Linked DNA regions of Saccharomyces cerevisiae S288C. Changing the gene in region 1 together with any one later gene gives a genetic interaction. Each region holds a gene or a part of one and is shown in the gene's direction. Other genes may lie near its edges.

Region 1 (5,288 bases):
CTAGGCTCTAGAACAGGTTTTTTCTTTGTGATGATACCACCCATCGACCAAGATACAGTGTCTACTTTGTAGTTGCGTTCCAGAATGGCACTTAACAAGTGTTGACCAGTATGTTGTTGCATATAATCCATTCTCTTTTGCTCGTCCACGGCCACTTCCACTGTTGTTCCGGGCTCAATGTAGTCATTGACATGATGCTTTGCATGTAAACCGAAACGAGAAACGTGTGAAACTAATATCTTCTCAATTTTCGACGAATTACGATTCCCTTCAACAATTTTCAAAAAACCAGAATCACTTGGTTGGCCCCCACCTTCGGGGAACAGAATAGTATCTTGTAGTTCAATCTCATAACCTTCAATCTCTCCCTTTTTATTCTTCGTTGGTTCGCAAGAAACAACCAGTGTTTTGAACCCATCGAAGAGAAATGAGTTCCTCTGGCAGGCTAAAGCGCCGACCTTGACAGGCGTCATAGGTGTGGGCATGATAACTTACCTTTTAATCAATTTTTGACGCTGTTGTGTGCTTTCGTCGATATGCGTCACCAGGATGTCTATTCTTAAGTTTTTTTTACACGATAAGGATAAAAAATAAAAAGATGTTAATGATGGGTGGTTGGTTCTTTTACTAATGAAAAGTGTAAGCATATTTCGTACAAATTGCTTGCAATAAGTCACTTGTACAAAAGTAAACTGATATAAACGTCTTCCTAGTGGGCTGAATTTCAGAATTTACGCGAGTGATACATGAATTTACTGATAATCGATGGTATTCGTTATTTGATAAGGTGGTATTATTGAATATACAGAATGCATTATATGCGCTCATTGAGGATATAATAGTCATGACAGGAAATCAATGTCCTACGTAATAACACTATTATTTCTTCCTTTGCATTGCACGTTGTTATGCATTACTCTGTTACATCATCAGTTCTTGTATTTCGGCTTTTACTAGATTTGAGATTGTATCTCATGGCTTATGTCACTTTCTTACATTGTGTGTGATAGGTATACTAGTAACATGGCCACTAGTCAATAAGCAACGGTCAATTCTTATTCCAGCAGTTCTTAATATGCATGGAATTAGTGAAGAATAGGAGCCGATAACTTTACTTGTGCATTTGTATTAAATTTACGTCCTTCTTATTTATTTCGTCCACGTACGTTACTACCCTTTTTCCAGTAATTTTTCTTTAACTTGAAATGGTCTTGTAACTCCTATTACATTCCGGTGCCATATCAAGAGTAGCCTGGTAATATAGAAAAATTCCAGTAGCTTAACAAGAGCCTATTTTTAATCAAAAATGCCGGAGCAAAAAGCCAACTGTTCACCAAACGGTAACATAACAGTTGATAGTATGATTATGTCGCTAGGATCTTCTTAAAGGATAACACGAATTACGAAACCAATAGAGGGATATTAGAAGGATCAGCTGAAACCTAAAGATCAATAATATAACAGGATTATAAGTGACAACATATAGTATTAAAGAAACAAACCGCTATATGATTGCATGTATTACCACCTCTCTTTTGTTGATACGCATATCCCTGAGGAAAACTCTCAGCACATTCCATATACGAGGGAAAAATTGGATTTCAAAAACTGGTATCTAATCCTACCGATGCGTATGTTAGTCGAAATCTATAAGTAAATTGTTAATGATTGCTTTCTGTTCGTTTATACTTCCATTTTACTTATATATCACCTGCCGTCTCAGACGACAAAATACATACAACTGGCGTAATGACGCTTTCATACAAAATATACATCTAAGGTAGTAATTCATTCTAGTAAATATTCATCCGAAAGCTGTAGTATCTGAAGTATATTGTACATTATCGTAACAAAATCCCCAGTGAAGTTTACTCACAATGGATTTCGTTGTAGACTATCAGACCTACGCAATGGCGGATACTGCCACGCCAGAATTACCAGAACCTGAGCCAAGACTAAACTTAACCTCAGATGCACAGTCACAGCCCACCGGTAAACTAGATCTACAGTTTAAGTTGCCCGACCTTCAACGTTATTCCAATAATAATGCAACTTTGCCAGTAGATAATGATGGTGCTGGTTCGAAAGACCTACATAAGAAAATGACACATTACGCAATGTCTTCCATTGATAAAATACAGCTTTCAAATCCAAGCAAACAATTAGGGCAAAATTCCCAGGATGAAAAACTATCGCAGCAAGAATCTCAAAATTTCACGAATTACGAGCCAAAAAACCTTGATTTATCAAAATTAGTATCCCCGTCAAGTGGTTCCAACAAAAATACCACAAATTTGGTTCTTTCGAATAAACTATCCAAGATATTGAACAATTACACATTGATTAACTATCAGGCCACAGTCCAACTAAGAAAATCCCTAAAGGTTCTAGAAGAGAATAAAGAGAGATTGTCCCTTGATGAACAAAAGCTCATGAATCCTGAATATGTAGGTACTTTGGCAAGAAGAGCATTGAGGACTGATTTGGAATCTCAACTGCTAAAGGAACATATTACGGTACTTGAGGAATTCAAACCTATCATTAGAAGGATTAAACGATTATCTTCTTCCGTCGAAAAAATACAAAGAACGAGCGAAAAATTACTAAGTAATGAGACAAATGAGGTTCCAACAAATAACGTGGTACTTCAGGAAATAGATCAATACCGTTTAAAGGCAGAGCAGTTGAAGCTGAAAAAAAAAATACTGTTATCTATAAGGGATAGGTTTACTTTGAATCAGGTAGAGGACGATGTAATCACCAATGGTACTATAGACAACATCTTTTTCGAGGTAGTAAAGAAAGTAATCAATATTAAAGATGAATCAAGTTTCTTGCTGACGCTTCCTAATTTGAATGCTGGAAATGCTTTGATAATGGGAGTTAATGAAATTTTAGAAAAGACAAACAAAAAAATCTTCAATTATTTGATCGATTTTTTATATAGTTTTGAATCCTCTTCAAATTTATTAAATGACCATGGTACTACTGAACAAGAAAGCTTAAACATTTTTCGGAAGAGTCTGGTCTTCCTGTCAAGTGATCTAGAATTATTTAATGAGTTGTTGAAAAGAGTGACCACACTGAGATCCAAGAGTATTCTGGATGAGTTTTTGTCTCAATTCGATATGAATTCAACTACCTCTAAACCCATCATATTATCGGCACACGATCCAATTAGGTATATTGGTGACGTACTAGCGTCCGTTCATTCCATCATCGCAAATGAAGCTGATTTCGTGAAGTCACTATTTGACTTTCAGGATGAAGACTTAAAAGATACCCCAATTTCTATACTTCAACAAAACAAGACATTCTTGAAAGGCATCGACAACAAATTGCTGAACGATATCATCCAGTCGCTATCCAATTCGTGTCGTATTCGTATCGAGCAAATCGTGAGGTTTGAAGAAAATCCGATCATCAATTTCGAGATTGTGAGGCTGCTGAAACTTTACAGAGTTATGTTCGAGAGAAAGGGAATTCAGGACGATAGTTCTATTATTAACAATTTAAAGTCGTTGGAAGACATTTCCAAAAACAGAATTATTGGATACTATGAAGACTATATGAAGCAAACAGTCATGGCGGAAACAAAAAATTCTTCAGATGATTTACTGCCACCAGAGTGGCTATCAGAGTATATGAATAAATTGGTAGAGTTATTTGAAATTTATGAAAAGACACATGCTGCCGAAGATGAGGAATCAGAAGATAATAAATTGCTCTCATCTAAGAATTTACAAACAATTGTAGAACAACCAATAAAAGATGTTCTGTTAAAACAATTGCAAACATCTTTTCCTTTGGCGAAAAAAAATGAAAAAGAAAAGGCATCATTGCTAACTATAGAGATAAACTGTTTCGATTTAATTAAATCTAGACTTCAACCTTTTGAGGGATTGTTTGCACAAGATGATGACAGCCGGAAAATCACCATCTGGGTTTGTGATAAACTGAAGGAATATACTAAGCAAATGCTAACTTTACAAATAAAATTCCTATTTGAGAATACAGGTTTAGACCTTTACAGCAATTTGGTCAATATGATTTTTCCTGTGGACTCAGTAAAGGATGAATTGGATTATGATATGTACTTAGCCCTGAGGGATAATTCATTGATGGAATTAGACATGGTCAGAAAAAATGTGCATGATAAGTTGAACTATTATCTACCTCAGGCGTTAACAGATGTTCAAGGTAATTTACTATTTAAATTAACGTCACCAATGATAGCTGATGAAATATGCGATGAATGTTTCAAGAAGTTGTCGCTATTTTATAATATCTTCAGGAAACTGTTGATTCATTTGTATCCGAACAAGAAGGATCAGGTATTCGAAATTTTAAATTTTTCCACTGATGAATTTGACATGTTGATAGGTATTGATCACTGAGAGATGAACAACTTCTGTTTAAAATCGTCTCACAAAGACGCATCTTGCCCATAATGTAGCGATGCTCTATATCTCAAATATTTGTTACCTTTTTTATGTTGGTATGCGGCGGGTATCTATATAATATATGGGTGTATACATACGTAGGGGGAACATCAAAAAGAAAATAATGATCACTCAAGTACTATTTAAAATCTTGCCTACAGAATTATCCTTTGTGATGGTTCTTACGGGGCTTTCGTTTCTACTACTGCTTTCACTGCATGTTCTGTCATCCAAGTCATCGTGTACTTGACGTCCTTCACGAACCGATTGCAGCATATTTGGTTGTTCCTTCATATTGGATTCAATTGGTTTGTCATGTGAGGTAAGTGCTACGGACACGTTAGAATGTATAGGGGATGGTGATCTCTGTACTTGTTTTTCTTTTGCTTCATCGATAATACTTAAATCGATCACTCCAAAGGAGGATGTGGATCTTGCACGCCTATGCTTTTTTTGAACCATTCCAGGTTTCCTTGGTATAGTATGTAAATTGTGCGTGTGGAGATCCTGTTGCTGTTGTGGAGGAGGAGGCAGTGGTTGAGATAGCGGCTGCTGTTGGTCTCTATTGAAACTTAGTATGGATGTCATTGTAGAAGGAATATTAGGATTGGTGAACTTTCCTATTGGAAGTGACAAGTTACGGCTGTGAAGAGAAGTCGGCTTCTTGTTTAAAGGCGATTCTTGAGATTTTGTACCAGAGGGAATTCGCCTAGCCACATCTTCCTCCTTAATGGAAATATTGTCATTCAACGCAGCAACTGCGGATGCACCTATTCTTGCAGGAGAATTAGCTCTTCGTTGTACATTTGTAACTGTGGAGTGTGATATACCGCCGGTAGAGGATGA
Region 2 (3,777 bases), 230 kb from region 1:
GTACTATCCACTCTACCTCACAATAATTGACGAGATAGCGACGGGGTTCTTAAATAGTCTTCTATCTGATGCTTTCGTACTCTTCAACCTGTCCGCTTTTCTCATTGCAAATATTCCACTATAAAGTTCCTTTTAAGAGGAAATCCCTTTTATTCTCCCGCTTTTTTCTGTATTTATGTAACTTCAAGATTTTTTTTTCTATATTTGATATAAACTTTAATAGGGTTCTTCTTTTCAGAAGTTTATCAATTGCTTAAGCCTCCTTTTGTTGATCAACAACAATAAAGGCTTTATTATCGTAAATTTTCCTACAGCATTTATTCTTCATAGAGCATACCGTTATAATTTCACCGTCTTTTCACTACGCTCATAAAGAGAGTACAGTTATACTGCTGCAACCCTAGCATGTATCAAGCTGTGCTGCTTATACCTATTTTGAAAGGGCCATTCCTTCTTTTGCCATTCCTTTTTCGTCTATTTTCCTAAATAGCTTCCTTAGCCTCACGTTTTTTTGTTCGCTTTCAAGAGATGGTCACCGTTCTCTAACTGATAAGGAAAAACGTTTCAGCCAGAACTTCCTATATAGAAATATTCTGAAAGCTATCGAGTAAAGACTCAGGAAATTGCCAAAACGTTATGAGCTACAATTATTTGAAGGCAGCTAGAAAAATTATATGCATTGGGCGTAATTACGCAGCGCATATCAAAGAGCTGAACAATTCAACTCCAAAACAACCGTTTTTTTTCCTAAAACCAACCTCGAGTATTGTGACACCATTGTCTTCATCATTGGTCAAGACCACTAGACCTGCAAACTCGACTTTCAATGGTTTAAATGAAGACGGAACTAACCCCGGGCCCATTTTTATCCCACGCGGTGTGAAGGTTCATCACGAAATTGAGTTGGCATTGATTGTGAGCAAACATTTGTCCAATGTCACTAAGATGAAACCCGAAGAAGTCTATGACTCTATTAGTGGTGTAGCTCTAGCATTGGATCTTACAGCAAGAAATGTCCAAGATGAAGCCAAAAAGAAGGGGCTACCTTGGACTATAAGCAAGGGTTTTGACACCTTCATGCCAATCTCTGCTATAGTCTCCCGCGAGAAGTTCTCATCCTACAAATCAAACTTACAGGATATTTTCAGAGTCAAGTGCTCTGTTAACGGACAGTTGAGACAAGATGGTGGTACTAACCTCATGTTGCACCCACTCCATAAAATACTGCAACACATATCTACCATGATATCTCTGGAACCGGGTGATATCATTTTGACTGGTACACCTGCAGGTGTAGGCGAGTTAAAGCCTGGTGACCGTGTTCACTGTGAGCTATTGCAGAATAATGACAATATTGTCGACATGAACTTCGAATGTGAAAATCGGCCGGGACCATATGAATTTAGAGAAACATAATGTCTGTCGCATTCACGCTTGTCGCAGATAACACGTTATGCGTTACTAATTTCCTACAAGCTTGGCACATATACGACCAATTGTGCTTCTGTATACGCTACGCTATGTAATCACATATCACATGCAGGGTAACCAGCACCTTTTTGGTGTTTTTTCAAATCTCGAGGTCAAGGGACATCTAAAGCAGGCACAAGCATGTGGAAAATTTGTTCTTCACCTATAATATAAAACAGCTTACTCACAAAAGAGACGCCTAGAGGTACGTAGCGCTTTAAGGACTCTTCAGCCAGTTGTTAGCAGATCGCTCAAATCCTTCTTGGTCGTTATTTTTTGAAGAAGAAGGAAAAGCAAAGCCAGCATGTCAATTATGCCAGTTAAGAACGCCTTGGCGCAAGGGAGGACGCTCCTCATGGGGAGGATGCCTGCTGTAAAGTTTTCTACAAGAATGCAATTAAGAAATAGAACTGCGGTGCTATGGAATAGAAAGTTTTCCACGCGTCTTTTCGTTCAGCAACGACGCAGTTCTGGAGAGATTGTGGATCGTGCCAAAGCTGCTGCCGCAAATAGCGGAAGAAAACAGGTCTCCATGAAATGGGTTGTTTTAACTAGTTTCACCATTGTTCTAGGAACCATTTTACTAGTGTCAAGGAATGATAGTACAGAGGAGGATGCTACAGAGGGCAAAAAAGGGAGAAGGACAAGAAAAATCAAAATATTTAACAATAATTGGCTCTTTTTCTGCTATTCTACTTTACCGCTGAATGCGATGTCTCGATTATGGGGCCAAGTAAATTCTCTTACGTTACCCATTTGGGTTAGACCATGGGGTTACAGGTTATATTCTTTCCTTTTTGGAGTTAACTTGGACGAGATGGAAGATCCTGATTTGACACATTATGCAAATTTATCCGAATTTTTCTATCGTAACATAAAACCAGGCACACGTCCAGTAGCACAAGGCGAAGACGTTATAGCTTCTCCAAGTGATGGAAAGATTTTACAAGTTGGTATAATCAACTCTGAAACTGGCGAAATCGAACAAGTCAAGGGAATGACATATTCCATCAAAGAATTCCTTGGCACTCACTCCCACCCCTTGATGTCTAAGAGTGCATCTAGTCTAGATTTGACTTCTGATGAGGAAAAGCATAGAGAATTCGCCAGGGTAAATAGAATACAATTAGCGGGTTCCGAAGACACTGAACAGCCTCTTCTTAACTTTAAAAACGAGGGCGATCAATCTGTTCGAGAGTTCAAACCAAGTGTGTCCAAAAATATACATCTTTTAAGTCAACTTTCTTTAAACTACTTCTCTAATGGGTTTTCGTGCTCTGAGCCTCATGATACGGAACTTTTCTTTGCCGTCATTTATTTGGCTCCCGGTGATTACCATCATTTCCACTCTCCAGTTGACTGGGTTTGTAAGGTTCGCCGCCATTTCCCAGGTGATTTATTCTCCGTGGCACCTTATTTCCAGCGTAACTTCCCTAATCTTTTCGTTCTAAATGAAAGAGTTGCTTTGTTGGGTAGTTGGAAGTACGGATTTTTTAGCATGACTCCTGTTGGTGCAACAAATGTTGGTTCAATCAAGTTGAATTTTGATCAAGAATTTGTGACAAATTCAAAGAGCGACAAACACTTGGAACCACATACCTGCTACCAGGCAGTATATGAGAATGCAAGTAAAATATTGGGAGGGATGCCTTTGGTTAAGGGTGAAGAAATGGGTGGCTTTGAATTGGGTAGCACTGTTGTACTTTGTTTTGAAGCTCCCACTGAATTTAAGTTCGATGTTAGGGTTGGTGATAAGGTTAAGATGGGACAGAAATTAGGCATAATTGGAAAGAATGATTTAAAATGAAAGCAATCATATGTAAAGTTAGCATTTATTTTGCTGTATATAGTATTATCTGCACACTTTGATTTAATTCTTCTTTTGGAGGTATGTAAAATTATACGCTGTACATTTTTCAGATTGGACTTGTTAGATGTAAACTTTAGATTAAAGATGTTCGTCTGAAGAATTTTAGCCATGTCATGTACCCCTTTCATAAACCAAGTTATACACAAAGATTACACCTTACCCCAGTTTTGGAACCTTTTAAAGCTAGTCTTAGATACCCAAATAAATATTCTTGAGTTTTGCATTATTCATCATGTGGTCCAAAGCTTTTGTACCACAATTCGAGTTGGCAATCCAAAATATCTCCACTGTTTTTATCTGAACACAGCAAACCTAAATTATAAGATTCTGAATCCGTTAATGCTGTATTATTTCCTGCACTCAAAAGAGTATCGAGTTCCACCATTGTCAAATCTTGAATACCCAAACTTTCAACCAGTTGCGAAGAGGTGGTATTT
Region 3 (4,879 bases), on another chromosome or scaffold:
GTGGAGCATCACACAGCCGTACATCCGGCCACACACGGTGGTTACCCCACTTCGTTTCTTTTTTCAGGGGCGATGCCACTTATCAGTTGTTTTTAGAATTCAGTGTCATTTGAGGGCGGTTCCTCCTTTTGGGGGTATATATAGAGAGGCTCCGGGTTTTGCCACCTTTGAATTCGCCTGCTTATCTTTCTTCTTCCGAAAGTGCTACTTCAGAAAGAGCAAGAACTGTACGGATAAGGATAAGTATATCTTCTATCTACTACAATACGACAAGAACTCTCGAACTCTCCCTCCCACTTTACTTTAACTAATAGATTATGCAGATTTTCGTCAAGACTTTGACCGGTAAAACCATAACATTGGAAGTTGAATCTTCCGATACCATCGACAACGTTAAGTCGAAAATTCAAGACAAGGAAGGTATCCCTCCAGATCAACAAAGATTGATCTTTGCCGGTAAGCAGCTAGAAGACGGTAGAACGCTGTCTGATTACAACATTCAGAAGGAGTCCACCTTACATCTTGTGCTAAGGCTAAGAGGTGGTATGCAGATCTTTGTTAAGACTTTGACCGGTAAAACCATCACTTTAGAGGTTGAATCCTCCGACACGATCGATAACGTTAAGTCGAAAATCCAGGACAAGGAAGGTATCCCTCCGGATCAACAGAGGTTGATCTTTGCCGGTAAGCAGCTAGAAGATGGTAGAACCTTGTCTGACTACAACATCCAAAAGGAATCTACTCTTCACTTGGTGTTGAGACTGAGAGGTGGTATGCAAATTTTTGTCAAGACACTGACAGGTAAGACTATAACCCTAGAGGTTGAATCTTCTGACACTATCGACAACGTTAAGTCGAAAATTCAAGACAAGGAAGGTATTCCTCCAGATCAACAAAGATTGATTTTTGCTGGTAAGCAACTGGAAGACGGTAGAACGCTGTCTGATTATAACATTCAGAAAGAGTCTACGTTGCATTTGGTGTTGAGATTGAGAGGTGGTATGCAAATTTTCGTCAAAACTCTAACAGGGAAGACTATAACCCTAGAGGTTGAATCTTCCGACACTATTGACAACGTCAAAAGTAAAATTCAAGATAAAGAAGGTATCCCTCCGGATCAACAGAGATTGATTTTTGCTGGTAAGCAACTAGAAGATGGTAGAACCTTGTCTGACTACAACATCCAAAAGGAATCTACTCTTCACTTGGTGTTGAGACTGAGAGGTGGTATGCAAATTTTTGTCAAGACACTGACAGGTAAGACTATAACCCTAGAGGTTGAATCTTCTGACACTATTGACAACGTTAAGTCGAAAATTCAAGACAAGGAAGGTATTCCTCCAGACCAGCAAAGATTGATTTTTGCCGGTAAGCAACTAGAAGATGGTAGAACGCTGTCGGACTACAATATTCAAAAGGAGTCCACTCTTCACCTTGTCTTGAGGTTGAGGGGTGGTAACTGATCAGTCCTCGCAATATTTTCATTATGTCAATATATATATGTTTACTCTCCTTTTTTCTTTTTGGTTTTTTTTTTTTTTTGATAAATACTCCATAGAACACTAAATAAATTGTTCAACTGTGTTATTGTCTTTATTCATGTTGGTTTTCAAGAGCTTGGATTTTTGAATCGTCTTATACTATGACGTTCACTATTTTCGCGAAGCCGGGTAATACCATTAGCTATTTTGATAGAAAGGGATTTTTATTAGGGAATATAAACCACCTTTATAGTGTCCTATCATGTTTCAATCTCCAGTAAACGCACATAAGCCGACCAATTGAGTCAACCTTTTAACTCTATTTAATTTGATACGGATAGAATATTGTGACTACCAAAAGGGAAAAGGCAGAAAAAAGGAAAATTAAGAACAGTTAAATGTTAGAGTCTTTAGCTGCTAATTTGCTAAACCGATTGCTAGGCTCATATGTGGAAAATTTCGACCCTAATCAATTAAATGTCGGCATATGGAGTGGTGATGTGAAGTTAAAAAACTTAAAACTAAGAAAAGACTGTTTGGACTCATTAAATTTACCCATAGATGTGAAATCAGGGATACTGGGTGATTTGGTCTTAACGGTCCCATGGTCAAGTTTAAAGAATAAGCCCGTGAAAATCATTATCGAGGACTGTTATTTATTATGCTCACCACGTTCAGAAGATCACGAAAATGATGAGGAGATGATAAAGAGAGCTTTTCGGTTGAAGATGAGGAAGGTAAGTGAATGGGAACTGACAAATCAGGCTCGCATACTGAGTACCCAATCAGAGAACAAAACCTCTTCTTCTTCTTCAGAAAAAAATAACGCCGGGTTTATGCAGTCTTTGACTACAAAGATCATAGACAATTTACAAGTTACCATAAAAAATATCCATTTAAGGTACGAGGACATGGACGGAATCTTCACTACAGGCCCATCTTCCGTTGGATTAACTTTGAACGAGCTATCAGCTGTATCTACAGATTCCAACTGGGCTCCAAGTTTCATTGATATTACACAGAATATCACGCATAAACTATTGACTTTAAATTCACTCTGTTTGTATTGGAATACAGACTCTCCGCCCTTGATTTCTGATGATGATCAAGATAGAAGCCTGGAAAATTTTGTAAGGGGTTTCAAAGATATGATTGCATCGAAAAATTCCACTGCCCCCAAGCATCAATACATTTTGAAACCGGTTAGCGGGCTAGGGAAGCTTAGTATCAACAAGCTGGGTTCCACGGAGGAACAACCTCACATTGACTTGCAAATGTTTTATGATGAATTTGGTTTAGAATTAGATGATACAGAATATAATGATATCTTGCATGTCCTCTCCAGTATACAGTTAAGACAAATTACCAAAAAGTTTAAGAAAGCAAGACCATCCTTCGCAGTTAGTGAAAACCCGACAGAATGGTTTAAATACATTGCTGCTTGTGTTATTAATGAAATTCATGAAAAAAACAAAATGTGGACTTGGGAAAGCATGAAGGAGAAATGTGAACAACGGAGGTTGTACACAAAATTATGGGTTGAAAAGTTAAAGTTAAAAAATTTAGAAGCTCCGCTACGTGACCCCATTCAGGAGGCTCAATTATCTGAATTGCATAAAGATTTAACGTATGATGAAATTATTCTCTTCAGATCTGTCGCTAAGAGACAGTACGCGCAATATAAGTTGGGCATGACGGAAGACTCACCCACACCAACAGCTAGCTCAAATATTGAACCACAAACTTCCAACAAGTCCGCAACTAAAAATAATGGAAGCTGGCTCTCTTCTTGGTGGAACGGTAAACCTACAGAAGAAGTAGACGAAGATTTAATAATGACTGAAGAACAGCGTCAGGAGCTTTATGATGCTATTGAATTTGACGAGAATGAAGATAAAGGTCCTGTACTGCAAGTTCCTAGAGAAAGGGTTGAACTTCGTGTAACGAGTTTGTTAAAAAAGGGTTCATTCACTATACGAAAGAAGAAGCAAAATCTAAATTTGGGTTCCATAATTTTTGAAAATTGTAAAGTTGATTTTGCTCAAAGACCTGATTCATTTTTATCGAGTTTCCAATTGAACAAATTCAGTCTCGAAGATGGCTCACCCAACGCGTTATATAAACATATCATTAGTGTCAGAAACTCATCTAAAGATCAATCTTCAATTGACAACCACGCTACCGGGGAGGAAGAAGAAGAGGATGAACCTTTATTACGTGCTTCATTTGAATTGAATCCACTAGATGGATTAGCAGATTCGAACTTAAACATTAAGTTATTGGGAATGACTGTGTTTTACCACGTTCATTTCATTACAGAGGTCCACAAGTTTTTTAAGGCGTCAAACCAACACATGGAAACAATCGGCAATATCGTAAACGCCGCCGAGGCAACTGTAGAAGGTTGGACAACACAAACAAGAATGGGTATTGAGTCTTTGTTGGAAGACCACAAGACCGTAAATGTATCTTTAGATTTACAAGCACCATTAATCATATTACCGTTAGACCCACATGATTGGGATACCCCTTGTGCGATCATTGATGCCGGTCATATGTCTATACTCAGTGATTTAGTGCCAAAGGAGAAGATAAAGGAAATAAAAGAGTTATCGCCGGAAGAATATGACAAGATTGACGGTAACGAAATCAATAGGTTAATGTTTGATAGGTTCCAAATTTTATCTCAGGATACTCAGATATTTGTTGGTCCTGATATTCAGTCTACTATAGGTAAGATCAATACCGCCTCTTCCACGAATGATTTTAGAATCTTGGATAAAATGAAATTAGAGTTAACTGTAGATCTATCAATCCTTCCTAAAGCATATAAATTACCCACGATAAGAGTTTTTGGTCATTTGCCTCGCTTAAGTCTTTCCATAAATGACATTCAATACAAGACTATTATGAATTTGATTGCTAATTCTATACCTTCTATGATTGATGATGAAGAAAACAACGGCGATTACGTTAATTACTCTTCTGGTTCCGAAAAAGAAATGAAGAAGCAAATTCAATTGCAGTTGAAGAATACTTTGAAAGCGTTAGAAAATATGCAGCCGCTTCAAATTGAACAGAAATTCTTAGAGCTCCATTTTGATATCGATCAGGCGAAAATAGCATTCTTTCAATGTATCAAAAATGATTCCAGAAACAGCGAAAAATTGGTTGATATATTGTGTCAAAGGCTAAATTTCAATTTTGATAAGAGAGCCAAAGAAATGAATTTAGATCTAAGAGTACATTCATTAGATGTTGAAGATTACATCGAGCTGACTGATAACAAGGAATTCAAAAACTTGATATCATCCGGCGTTGAAAAAGTGACAAGATCTCAAAAAGATTTGTTTACGCTAAAATACAAGAGAGTGCAGAGAATTGTGCCTCATAACGAT

What was found.
Region 2: mutations in COG6 (region 1) and PSD1 together harm fitness more than expected from each alone (negative genetic interaction), as found in Saccharomyces cerevisiae (5 studies listed by BioGRID).
Region 3: mutations in COG6 (region 1) and VPS13 together harm fitness more than expected from each alone (negative genetic interaction), as found in Saccharomyces cerevisiae (5 studies listed by BioGRID).

What each region holds. Positions count from the first base shown.
Region 1 is NC_001146.8:548,577-553,864, reverse strand, and holds COG6 (Golgi transport complex subunit COG6), read left to right. Parts: upstream 1-1,877; coding exon 1,878-4,397; downstream 4,398-5,288. Other genes in the region: YNL040W (putative alanine--tRNA ligase), read right to left, coding at 1-485; YNL040C-A (uncharacterized protein), read left to right, coding at 1,307-1,387; BOP3 (Bop3p), read right to left, coding at 4,575-5,288. UniProt on the Saccharomyces cerevisiae protein: Acts as a component of the peripheral membrane COG complex that is involved in intra-Golgi protein trafficking.
Region 2 is NC_001146.8:315,669-319,445, reverse strand, and holds PSD1 (phosphatidylserine decarboxylase 1), read left to right. Parts: upstream 1-1,774; coding exon 1,775-3,277; downstream 3,278-3,777. Other genes in the region: SKO1 (Sko1p), read left to right, coding at 1-30; FMP41 (Fmp41p), read left to right, coding at 637-1,416; APC1 (anaphase promoting complex subunit 1), read right to left, coding at 3,564-3,777. UniProt on the Saccharomyces cerevisiae protein: Catalyzes the formation of phosphatidylethanolamine (PtdEtn) from phosphatidylserine (PtdSer). Plays a central role in phospholipid metabolism and in the interorganelle trafficking of phosphatidylserine.
Region 3 is NC_001144.5:60,646-65,524, reverse strand, and holds the start of VPS13 (membrane morphogenesis protein VPS13), read left to right. Parts: upstream 1-1,879; coding exon 1,880-4,879. Other genes in the region: UBI4 (ubiquitin), read left to right, coding at 318-1,463.